Linked DNA regions of Oryzias latipes. The protein of the gene in region 1 purifies or fractionates together with the protein of each later gene. This does not show direct contact. Links are inferred from orthologs where the notes say so. Each region holds a gene or a part of one and is shown on either strand. Other genes may lie near its edges. The genes, in order: protein argonaute-1, tnrc6a and tarbp2.

Region 1 (3,651 bases):
TTGCATTTCTGAGTATTCTATCCATTTTCTTAACCCTCTATATTCCTTTCGGGGTCACAGGGTTGCTGGAGCCTGACCCGGCTACTGCAGTGAGAAGGCGGGGCACACCCTGGACAGTCTGTTGCAGTGAGTATTTCCTTTTTTCAAATCGTTGTGAATCAAGAGCAGACGAAAAATGCTGTTTAAAAACTGGCTTCTTTGTGAAATAAAAAATACGATGGGCGCGGCACAAGCTCTCTGCTCCAAGCTCTTAGTAAGGGGGAGAACTACAGCCACTCTGAAAACGACAGTTTTTTTTTTTATTTTGGCCAAAAATGACCTGAAACCTACTGACCTGTCGTGTTCTTTGTCTACCAGATGGTAGCGGGCACGGAAGGCCACAAGACGAGCGTAGTAGGCTGGTGCCGGGATGGAGACCGAGCGGGTACAGCGCACATAGGTGTGGCACAACTGGTAGGTTAGAATCTGCAGCTCATCAGCGGTGAAACGATTGTCGTCCCATAAGACGTAGTAATGAGACGGCCGGCTGGTGCCCTGGCAAAGAAAATGGTTTGCATTAGCAGGGGGGGCTGGGGTCAAAGGTTGACGCGTTAGTGAGTTGATTACCTGGATGCCTGCATGGCTACATAAATAGAAGTCAAACTCAAAGGGATGAGTGATGCTGGTGTCCACTGTAGTCCCTGCAGGAATATTGCCACTCTTACCAATCTGGAAAAGAAAAGGAGACAAATATAAATACAGACATGTAATAAAGACATTTCAGGAGGGATTGAAACAACAGTGGAGCACTCACCCTCTCAGATTTGTCGGCACAGAAGAGGCGTGTGTGGTGGCGTTTTTGTACCACGATGTACGTGATACCAGGCTGGTAGTCTTTCTCCAACTTTATGCATGCATCTCTGATGGCCAGAAGCTCATAGTGGAGAATCTACATAACCAAAAATAATAATACTTTATTTCTAAGGCATATATAAAAAATAATATATAATAAATTAAGAAAAAGGCCCCTTAAATAAACATTTTACTTTGGAAAGTTCACAGCAGTGCGTTTCTTTGAGTCTCTTACTTGTGGCAGTTGACCTTCAGGAACACCATCCCTGTAGAAAATGATCCTGGTGGGCTTGAATCGGGTCGACTTGTAGAACTGAATTAACAGTTCGCGCACCATGTAAGATAAATCTTCGATGATTTCCTGCCTGGGTCTCTGGACCCGCACTGTGGCACAGTACCGGCTGGGGTGGGCATCCATACTGCCCACCACCTGAAAGAGGGGGAGCAGCAGAGATGTTGGAAAAAAAATTACACTAAAGACACTAATTGGGCTGCACTGTGGCGCAGTGTTTAGCGCTCTTGCCTCACAGCAAGAAGGCCCCTGGTTCAAGTCCCGGCTGGGGGACCTGAAACCAAACATCAACACCTTTCTGTGTGGAGTTTGCATGTTCTCCCCGTGCATGCGGCTTCCTCCCACTGTCCAAAAACATGCTTCATAGGTCAAGTGGCAACTCTAAATTGTCCCTAGGTGTGAGTGTGAGAGTGAATGGGTGTGTGATTGTGTGAATGGGTGTGTGATTGTGGCCCTGCGACAGACTGGCGAACAGTCCTAGTAGCCAGGATAGGCAGGATAGGCTCTGGCAGCCTCGTGACCCCGAAAGGATAAAACGGTAGAAAATGAATGAATAAAGACACTTAATTGTCTTTAAATACACTAATTGACATAGTAATAGCTCTTCATATACGTAAAAACCTTTGTTCTGAAACTACAAAAAAAAATCAAAGTTAACACTGGAAAATGGCCTATACAACATCCTTCCTTTGTTGCATCGTTGTACTTTCAGTCTTTTTTGTCTGTGTGTACTTTTGTGAACATCCCTTAAGTGCTGCTACTGGAGAAATGCGTAGGCTCGACGTTATTCTTTATCACCTATTTTCTCCTGTGTAAGGATGCTTCTGGCTTACCTATTCTCCTCCAATCCTCTCTGTGTGACTCAATCATTCGACATAATCGCTAGGCAACCACACAGCCAACCACAGCTGAGGTGAGGTAAAGGGAGAACGGTAGCTGCCGTCACTTCCTGTCTAAACAGTCGGTGATGAGGCATCCGTGTCTCTCGTAAAGCTCCTCCTTTATTACCTTTTTCCCTTTGTTCGTGCTCATGTGTGGTGTGACGAGGCTAAACTGAAAGTCCAGTAGAATGTGTGCTTATTGAAGCTTAGAGGTGAAGGTTGAGTGAACAGAGTATTTATGATCACAAAATAAGATTTTTTCTAGGTAATGACAAACCTAAACATGTGTATTTATTGTGCTTGAATGATTTATTTAATTAAGATAGAAATTATAACATCTATTTGTGAGGGTTCACGTTGTAAAACGGAAAACATTTCCAGCTAAACTAAGATTAATTTTGTCTATGAAAATGACTAAATTATTTAAATGTGTAATCCAATTAAAAATGGTAAAATTGTGTAAACCTGACTTTCTGGGAGAGATGCTTTAATGGTGGAAATGGCATTCAACTCGTCTTGTAAAGTGCAACTAAAAACAAAATGTAATGTATTCAAACTGCAGCCTATCCTCGATAACTTATTGGTTTATCTCCCTACTGAAAGAATTGGAGATTAAATTCTAGGACATTTCCATTTTCCCTGTAAGGCAGAAGTAAATGAGTACTGAGTTCATCCTAGTTAAAGTCAGAAGCACTTCTGAAAACACAGGTTTTACCCAGATGTTAAGATTAGACCAGTCCAAGTCTTATCCATAACTTTTTCAAATTCATGATTTTAGAGACTCACTGCAGTAATTGAGGGCTTCTTGCCATCTCCAGCTGGGGGGTGGGTGACATCTGCTCCCAGGAAGATAACAGGCTGCTGAAACACTGCTGAACTGAGGGGGCACATGGAAGAGAACTGGGAAATTATACTTCCTCAAGTAGCACAGGATTTCAATGAGTAATATTATGACAATACAGAAATGACATCAAATGTTTTTAACACAAGTTTTAAAAAAAAAACTTTAATGAGGCTTTGTAAAAAAAAAAAAAAAAAAAAAAAGTTTTAGACCTTTTCCACCCACGCATGGCTGCAAAAGGGCAAAAATGGGTCATAAAAATGAAATTAATAACATCAGAACGATCAAAGGAAGACCGTCTGCAATGGTTGTCTAGCAGTTATTCAGAGAACACATTTCAATGTCGCTTTAGAAAAAGCTCACCGCTGATGAGGCACCAGAATGTTGTTTATGCCTCCCAGCTTCACATTGATCTTGAGGCAGAGGTTGGAGAGGGTCTGAGGTGACGTCTTCACCACGTTCTTCACCTGAACACACTGGGTGGCCATGCCAAGAAGAGTGTCTCCCACACGCTTTACTTCAGCTATTTAAAAAAAAAGGTGAAATAAAATATGGAAAAGTTACAACAGTTGATTGCTACACCTCAAATTCCAAAGTAAATAGGATTGCCTGGAAAACCTTTAGAATTGTTCATCCCTTTGATCCAAAGTAATAAATACAATAAAGCAAAAAGCAAAGCAGAGAAATACCGTAGACTGGAGTTTTTCCTGGAAGAATGACAATGATGAGCTGTAGTCCAGAGTATGTGTTCTTCAGGTGTCTGAACATTGGTTCCACGCTGTCTGCACCCTGGGCGTATTTACAGA
Region 2 (4,393 bases), on another chromosome or scaffold:
AGCAAACCACCATAATAGAGTATATTGGTAAACACCATGAGTTGACTTAACAGGATTGTTTTCTTCACAAAATAAAAATTCGGGTAATTTTCCTACTCCAGATAAGAGAATTGACCAAGCAGATCTAACACTAAATAACTGGTTACTGAAACCAGCAATAGTGGTCATAACTGAACCGTTTGAGTATACAAAGTAGTCATGAGACATAGTCCTATTGTGTGCTTACATGTGCAATGATTGTCTAAACACAATGAGCAGTACAAACACCTCCCTGTGCACAACACATCAGGACGCTGGCTTCTCATTTAGAAATGGGGGGAAAGGCTACAATTCAGCACAATGTGACCTGACCAACCCAGACCCCCCAATTCAATTCAAACGGAACTGCATGTGCTAGCATAAGCAGGCGCAGCTCATCCCAAGCCCCCGCCCCTCCCAGCGGCTTCCCAAACTCACAACGCTGACAGAACATCACTCAGACAGCCATGACATCATATACTGGGATTCAGAAAATGTATTGCTTTCACTTTGGTTTACACTGATAATTCAACAAATCAGATGGGGTATGGTTAAACCTATTAAACATTTGTGACAAAACACCCCAAAGAAAGACCCACTCAAATCATCTTTGGATCTATTTTAAAAGCATCCAGTGATGTTTTAATTATGATAATGATTTAATTATGATTTTTAGCCAAAATCAAACACCAGTGAGAGCAGCAGCAGTTCATTAGAAATTCACCTCCGAGTTGTGGACAGGACTGTTTGTGTGGAGTAAGTCCGCCCCCACTTCCCATCATACATCTGTTTACATGCTTTCCCACAAGTTTACAGCCCCTTACAACCCCAACCTAACATTAGCGGTGCAACAAAAATGGCGAGCAAAATTTGAAGCTATCCAGCTGTACAGTTGACCCAGATGCCAGCTCAGACGAGGAAAACAAAGACAGACATGGATCTGGTCGTCTACAAGTGGTTGCATAAGAATGGCTTGCCAACGTTTTTTCTACATCACAAATACAATCCATTTCAAACTGCATTTTCCCCCTCTGCTCCTGATTAACCATTAGTCAAGAAAAAGTCAGAAATGCAGTTTTGAACATAAATTTGTTTATATATGTCACCAATCATCATTAACTGCATTAAACCATTTCAGCATCACCAACAGTTTCCTGGGTTTAAAAGAGTTTCACTCACCCGTTAAGACGCTTTAGTTTCTTTGGTGGCAACAGTTTCCAATTCCAAATCTCTTTAGCAAAAAGAGAAAGGAAATAGTTTATTCCCAAAGATAAATGAATAAAGTTAAGTGTAACCAGAACATTTTCCTGCAGAAAGTACCCGATTGTGCAAGAAAATGATTCTAGTGAACACCATAGTACAAGTTCCCAGAGGCATTAACTTGTAATATGACCTGCAAACTTTGAAACATTCCTAAAATCACATTCAGGGCAAACATCCAAATTATCCTGCACGCATAGACACTAGCATGAAGTATTATGCAAGTTCAGTACATACACTCAAAGTGAACTGTGGTGAAATGCACGTTTACACTGCCTTAACGTGGTACAGAGGTTTCTTACAGCTCGTCAAAGTGAAGGGAAACCAAGTGCGTGTAAAGTGACAGCAGGGGACAGTGAGAGTCTGTGTAGGTCAAAGTTACAAGTCGGGTCCTGAACGGCCATTATCTCAGCTGTTGCCCGACTTGCAGCTTAACCAACATGGCTTCTCTCTCCAGCTGTAGGTTTGCAATCAAATCTAAGAACCTCGAGTGATAAGTAAATTTACCACCGATGCATATTCATCTAAACTCTGATGTCCACCTCGGTGTTGTAAGATCAGGACGAAAAGTAATGTGGATTTGACTACAAAAAAACCCAGACCAGATTAGGGGTTTAGGGGTATTGCTGTCGTACCGCTTTATACCATAGGGGGCTTTTATCTAACAACTCCGCAGGTTAATTTCAATATAGATTTGAAATTAATTCATGACATTTTTAATTTATATGCGAAGTGATAGTAGTAAAACAGTGTTCTTAATGCAATTTGTGCACAGTATTACCTGTTCCCACCGACGAACCTGCGTCGTCAAATTAGCATGTTGCTAAGCTAATGCTAATAGCAACTACGAGGTATTTTTCCTCTAATTTAGCGATATTGGTAAGTTGTTTACAGAGAACAATGATAGTCTAGACAAAGTAAAAAAAAAATACATTTAAGACAATTAGTTAACAAAATACGCATTTTCCTAGCTACAAACATACAGCGACCAATCTAGAATAGTTAAGCGAAAGGACAAGGTTAAACCGCCTTGTTAACACATTTAAAATGGCTTTATTTTTCATTTGCGTTTAGGAAAAAACAAACGAGAGTTGCATCTTTAGCAAAACTATAAAACCAAACCGCCTTTCTAAACGCAACCTGATAGGATAGGAAAGGATAGCATAGTAGTACTTAACAATATTAGCTCCGTCATAGCTAACTAAACAACAGCGGCTGGTCAACTTATCTACCGACCTCTGGTCTTTCCTCCAGCTCCTTGCCTGCATAGCTTAACACAAGAACATAAATAAAAAATAAATAAAAATTAAAACAAAACTTACCTCATTGAAATATAAAGTGCAACAGAGAGTGGAAAATAAACTAAGTAAGGCTAAAGAAATGCAATGCGTTTGCAGCATCTACGAGTGGGGGCATTCATCCTCTGCACGATCGCCATTTTCTTGGCTCGCCGCTTTCGTTTGTGCTCTACGCTCCCCTCCTCTCTGCGTTCACTCCGTAGACATTAATAAGGTTTACACTGGCTCAGGCTGTGTACGTGTGTGATTCTAAGAGGGGGGAAGGAGGCGGGGGCGGAAACGCATAACCACTTCCTCTGACTGAGAAGACAAAACGCTGTAAAAACAAACAAACAAGAAAAACAATATATTATAGAAAAGCTATTCAGTCGCATTAAATTCTGCTTTCATCAGACAAACATAAACAAAAGTATATTGTTTGACGATTTATAAATTTATTAAAATTTAAGAAAAAAATTTGATGTAAGATTTGAAACACATAGGAAATGCTGTCCGTTTTAAATTTGTCTCAAATTATAGAATTTTGAAAGTGTGTCACTCCCCATCTAAAACATACTTTGGTATTTCTACATAGTTAAAGTTTGATGGCAAGTACGACAATTGTGACAAATAAATGCACATTTTGTGTATGAAATTACACATTTAAAGCAAAATACTTTAACTTGTGGATGAACAAGACAAGGAACTTTCCTTTAATAAATTTGTAAAATCAACTGAAAATGGACAAAACTAGAAAACTATTGACAAGGTAAAAATACTTATAAATACAAATACTAATAAAATACTAATAAATAATAGTAATAAATAAATTATACATATACATATACATATATATATATATATATATATATATATATATATATATATATATATATATATATATATATATATATATATATATATATATATATATATATATATATATATATATTGTCTATCTATCTATCTATCTATCTATCTATCTATCTATCTATCTATCTATCTATCTATCTATCTCTCTCTCTCTCTCTCTCTCTCTCTCTCTCTTTCTTTCTCTCTCTCTCTCTCTCTATCTATATATATATATACATACATATATTTATATATGTCTATAAAACTAAAAACAAATGCCCCTCTAACCCTTCCGCAGGTGGTTTCTCCTCCAAGCTCGGGTCCTCTTCCAGAGGCCTGGGAGCTTGAAGGTCCTGTGCAGTATCTTGGCTGTTCCTAGCACTGCGCTTTTCTGGACTGAGAGGTTTGAGGTCTTTTCAGGGATCTGTTGCAGCCACTCCTCCAGCTTGGGGGTTACTGCCCTGAGTGTTCCAATTACCACAGGCACCACTGTCACCTTCACTTTCCATGCTTTCTCCAGTTCTTCTGAGTCCCTGGTATTTCTTCAGTTTCTCATGTTCCTTCTTCCTGATGTTCCCATCGCTTGGCACTGCCACATCCACCACAATGGCTTTCCTCTGTTCTTTATCCACCACTACAATGTCTGGTTGGTTCGCCATTACCATCCTTATCAGTCTGGATCTGGAAGTCCCACAGGATCTTTGCCCTCTCATTCTCTACCACCTTCAGAGGTGTTTCCCATTTTGACCTTGGGGTTTCCAGTCCATATTCTGCACACATGTTCCTGTATATTATTCCAGCCACTTGATTGTGGCGCTCCATGTATGCTTTCCCTGCAAGCATCTTACACCCTGCAGTTATGTGCTGAATTGTTTCAGGTGCCTCTTTACACAGCCTACACCTTGGGTCTTGTCTGGTGTGGTAGATCTGGGGCTCTATCCCTCTGGTGCTCAGGGCTTGTTCCTGAGCTGCCAGGGTGAGCGATT
Region 3 (4,109 bases), on another chromosome or scaffold:
AGACGAGAACTTTTTGAGGTTAACTTATCGACATGATCTGCAAAAACCTGCATTACAGAAATTAGGATCTAAAATAGGAGCCCCCTTAGTATCTATTTGAAATATATCAACCTCAGTTCTGTGCTGTTTCATGACATTCCGATGCTAAAATAAGAAATAAAAAAATGACAGTTTTATAACATGAGTACAAACTAAAGTTTCAAAAATAATCAAATAGAAAAGCAGGGCAGTTTGGTTTAAAATAAAGTAAGAACTTGAAGTAGAAACAATATCTCCACATTGAGACTTATACCAATTTCGACAAATCTTTCAACTCTGCAGGTCATCGTAAATTCTTTGCGATGGGCTGGACCAGACTCCTGGGTGACTGTGTACTCTGGCAAACGCCATCCTTTCTGTACCACCAACTCCTAACATGAGGAAAAAACAAATTCAATGATTAAAAACTCAAAGACAGAATTTTGTTGAAGTTTTTTTGTGTTCATTTACCTGAAGAGCCCCGACAGGATTACATTCAGACTGCTGGGAAGTGTTTGTAGTTTTCATCTCTGACTGGGGTCTGCATGAAGGTGAAAAAGTAGACAGGACGTGTCAAACAGGTCTGAATCTCAATCATCTCAACAGAGTCTACCTGGGAATTATATGGAGACTCAACAATGTGAGGCATAAAAAGAAACATTAATTGACCTTTTGTATTAAAAAAAAAAAAAAAAAAGAAAAACAACAAAAAGGGAAACTTAAATATTAAGTTGTATCCTTACCCGTCTTCATCAACCAACACATCCACACCAACAAACTCGTCCACTCCGACAACGACACCAGCGGGACCTTCCAGGCTTCCTTTCAGCATCTTCAGAGCAGCCTCAGCTGCCTTGTGCTTAGCCGCCTTTTTGCTGGGCCCTTGGCCGGTGCAGCTGATCTCTCCCACGGAGACGCGGAATGTGAAGTTGGGCTGGTGGGCCTGTCCCTCTGCCTTCAGCAGGTCATACACTGGGGTTTTGCCTATCCGCGTTCCATACTCCTGCAGCAGACTGATGGGCGTCTTTCCGGGATTCACAGCCAGCATTTGCTCAATACTAGATGAGGAGGGGAAAAAAAACAACAGTTTTAATTAAAAAAAACCTTGATATGCTCTGTGTAGACGATGCTGTTCGATTTAAAAAGAGTTTAAAGAACTATTCAGATGAAAATAGTGTTTTTTAAGCATGCTCTTGTGGCATTTTTCTGATGATGGAGGATATATATGCTGTGAATCAGGCAAAAATGCAGTCGGAAAAAGCTTGTAGATGGGAAGTGGAAGGTACTATGGTAGGCCACAAGCTCCCTGCTCCACTCCATTCTGATGCATCCACTTGTAGACGACAAGATCCATGTATGTCTTTGTTTTCCTCGTCTGAGATGGAATATGGCCTTAAAACTGTACGGCTGGATAGCTCAGATATTGCTCGTCATTTTTGTTGCACCATTAATGTTAGGTTGGGGGTGTGAGAAACAGAGGAATGTCAAGAAGAAGGGGCGGGCTTACTCTGTGCCAACAGTCCTGCCTATAACAGGCACATTTTTTTCCCTTTCTTTTAAAGTAAATATTACGTTGATTATTTCTATGATGTATTGTGATTTTAATGCATTTTTCTGTTTTGTGAAGCACCTTGAATTACTTTGTGTACGAATTGTGCTATACAAATAAACTTGCCTTGCCACATTTCTGATAAACCCCTGCCACTCTGCAGAAACTATGTCCAAAAAAAAGGACAAGCTTTATAATTTAGGCCAAAAATGGCAAAATCAGAATAAAAAGACAGCTGGGAATGCTTTTACAATAGATAAAAAGATGACTGGAGTAAATCTTTAAGAGGTTAAATAAAACAAATATTACAGTCAAATTATTATTAACCAGAACTTCCCCAGAAACACTAAGCTATAAAATGCTTAAAGTACATAAACTGTCCTTGAAATGGTTCTCTTAGTTTCAAATGACAGTAAACAAGTCATTTTTCAGTGACTGGTTTTTGATTAAAAAAAACTGTTTAAATTAACTACTTGAACTAGCATTTTGGCCAGTATAACACACAAAGATGTAGAATGCTATGCAATTAAATTATTACAAAGAATAAAAGCAGCTTTGTGACAGGATTATAGAGAATCTACAACATGGGTTCGCCGATTCTCAGGATCCTGAAATGAGCAAAGCCCGTTCCTCTGATTGAAAGCTGGAGGTGAAAGAAGAGTTCAGTCATCATAAGGAGGGAGGTCACTATTAATTTCAGAAGTTCTTGTGCATGGTTCAGTTTCCAACGCTTTACAGACAAAACGTCTGTTTAACTGGTGTCACCCAATATCTGAGTAAAACAAATTACATAAACTTTCAAAACAAGGCAGGTTAACATGGGTGTGAAAAGGAGGAGGAAGGGCATGTTGGGATGGCCTAGTGTCTTCACGTGGTGTACATTTGTCCATCACTTAGAGACACCAGCATCTCCTATCAAAAGAAAGTCTGCATGACACCCGTGTATACATATTTCTCTATGCAGGCTTCTGACTGAAAGATAAACATTAAATAAAAAATACTGTGCTGCTGCAGGCTTGGATCATCGTGAACTCAGGCCTCAAAAATGTTTAGCTGCATTAAAAACTAAGAATTGCTCATTGCTAGGAATTGCCAGCAAAGACAAGATTTGAGTTAGCTTAGCTTTGGACTCACCTGGAGCACCCGGAGTTTCTCTTCCAGCTGTCCGATGCTGTATCGTCGTTCATTCCCTATTTCACGCAGATAGAGCTGAACTATTGCGGATGGAAAATCCTTCTACCAAAAGCTTATCTAGCATTCATTAGACACGAGTGTTCGTTTGAGTTCTAATCCCATTTTAAGGCTACAGTATTTGAAAGAAAAACGAAGTAAACCCCCTCCATAGCGACAGCGTTCGGCGCACAAATATGACGTAATAGCATCCTGTAGCACACACAAATCGTGATTGGCCGAAAGAAGCGCGGGCTTTTCCTAGTACCAAATATGTCTTGAATTAATACAACATGAACATGTAACATTACAAAAGTACAAAGGGCATAACACAACTTAAATAAATGTTTAAGATGCAATTATTATGGGTAATATGGGTAATCAATGAATGACATGATATGATGTGTATAAAATGAATACAATGATTTGTAATTGTAGTCAGATTGAACTAAAAATTAAAGGCCATTATTTGAAGAAACATAAACAAGTAGAAATGTTTCTACAAAAATCAAGTTAATATTTTTGGCAAGTCTATTCCATGAAAATGGAAATAAGTTGATATATTACACAACTCAAATAAGCCATTTAGCAGTTAAAACAATTTAAAATTTTGTTAACTTATTTTTGAAACTGATTTTGTTAGAGCCGGGGGTCCAGAGCTCTGGAGCCACATGCGGCCCTCCATTATTAGCTCTGCAGTTTTGAAGGAAAATGCAAACGTTTTGAACAAATAATAGGTTTGTTAGTTATGTTTTTATTTACTCTTAGATTTTTAAACTGAAGAAATTTTACCATAGTTAAAAATGAACTCTTTTTTCCCCTTACTACTCTACTTACCTACCTTACTCTAAATCAAGAGGCATTGAAAGCTTTACCGTTCCTCCAAAATGCATTCATTTTTGTAATAATTTAAATTATAAATATTAAAACAGATTATAATACTAATTAAAATAATTACCGGTATTATAAGAATAAGTTTTAACTCATATTCCTACCTATCTAGTTGCTTTTCAGATACAAAGTTCTCAAAATAAAAATTGTATATCTACTATAGCAGGATCTTATTTGACAGGATTTATTTTATTTTGCAAAGAATTTGCATGTGCTATCCCAAAAGTAATACAATAGAAATATAACACAACTATAAATCTATTATTTAAAATGTGTAACCCTTGTGCTATCCTAGGCACAGTAACATTGGGAGTTGGGTCATCTGAACCCACTAGACAGTGCGCTGAACCTTTTTTCTTCAATGATTTGTGATTTTCAGTGGTGTCCATGGATTCCATGAAATCCTCTTCACCTTTATCCACCTTTGTCATGGTAGGAATAACACATCAATGTAAGGGTGGGGTCATTTTGACCCCACAAG

The links.
Region 2: the proteins of protein argonaute-1 (region 1) and tnrc6a purify together in Homo sapiens (affinity purification with mass spectrometry; 10 studies listed by BioGRID and IntAct, with this or other methods). This does not show direct contact. The link is inferred for Oryzias latipes from reciprocal best matches to the Homo sapiens genes AGO1 and TNRC6A.
Region 3: the proteins of protein argonaute-1 (region 1) and tarbp2 purify together in Homo sapiens (co-immunoprecipitation; 4 studies listed by BioGRID and IntAct, with this or other methods). This does not show direct contact. The link is inferred for Oryzias latipes from reciprocal best matches to the Homo sapiens genes AGO1 and TARBP2.

What each region holds. Positions count from the first base shown.
Region 1 is NC_019874.2:24,557,649-24,561,299, reverse strand, and holds part of protein argonaute-1, read right to left. Parts: coding exon 3,535-3,651; intron 3,369-3,534; coding exon 3,209-3,368; intron 2,882-3,208; coding exon 2,791-2,881; intron 1,262-2,790; coding exon 1,067-1,261; intron 929-1,066; coding exon 794-928; intron 709-793; coding exon 607-708; intron 546-606; exon of another isoform or gene 535-545; coding exon 335-534; intron 127-334; exon of another isoform or gene 61-126; intron 1-60.
Region 2 is NC_019866.2:17,690,626-17,695,018, reverse strand, and holds the start of tnrc6a (trinucleotide repeat-containing gene 6A protein), read right to left. Parts: upstream 2,810-4,393; 5' UTR 2,601-2,809; intron 1,250-2,600; exon of another isoform or gene 1,198-1,249; intron 1-1,197.
Region 3 is NC_019863.2:10,469,047-10,473,155, forward strand, and holds the start of tarbp2 (RISC-loading complex subunit TARBP2), read right to left. Parts: upstream 2,945-4,109; 5' UTR 2,755-2,944; coding exon 2,702-2,754; intron 1,077-2,701; coding exon 762-1,076; intron 560-761; coding exon 490-559; intron 411-489; coding exon 293-410; intron 1-292. UniProt on the Homo sapiens protein: Required for formation of the RNA induced silencing complex (RISC). Component of the RISC loading complex (RLC), also known as the micro-RNA (miRNA) loading complex (miRLC), which is composed of DICER1, AGO2 and TARBP2.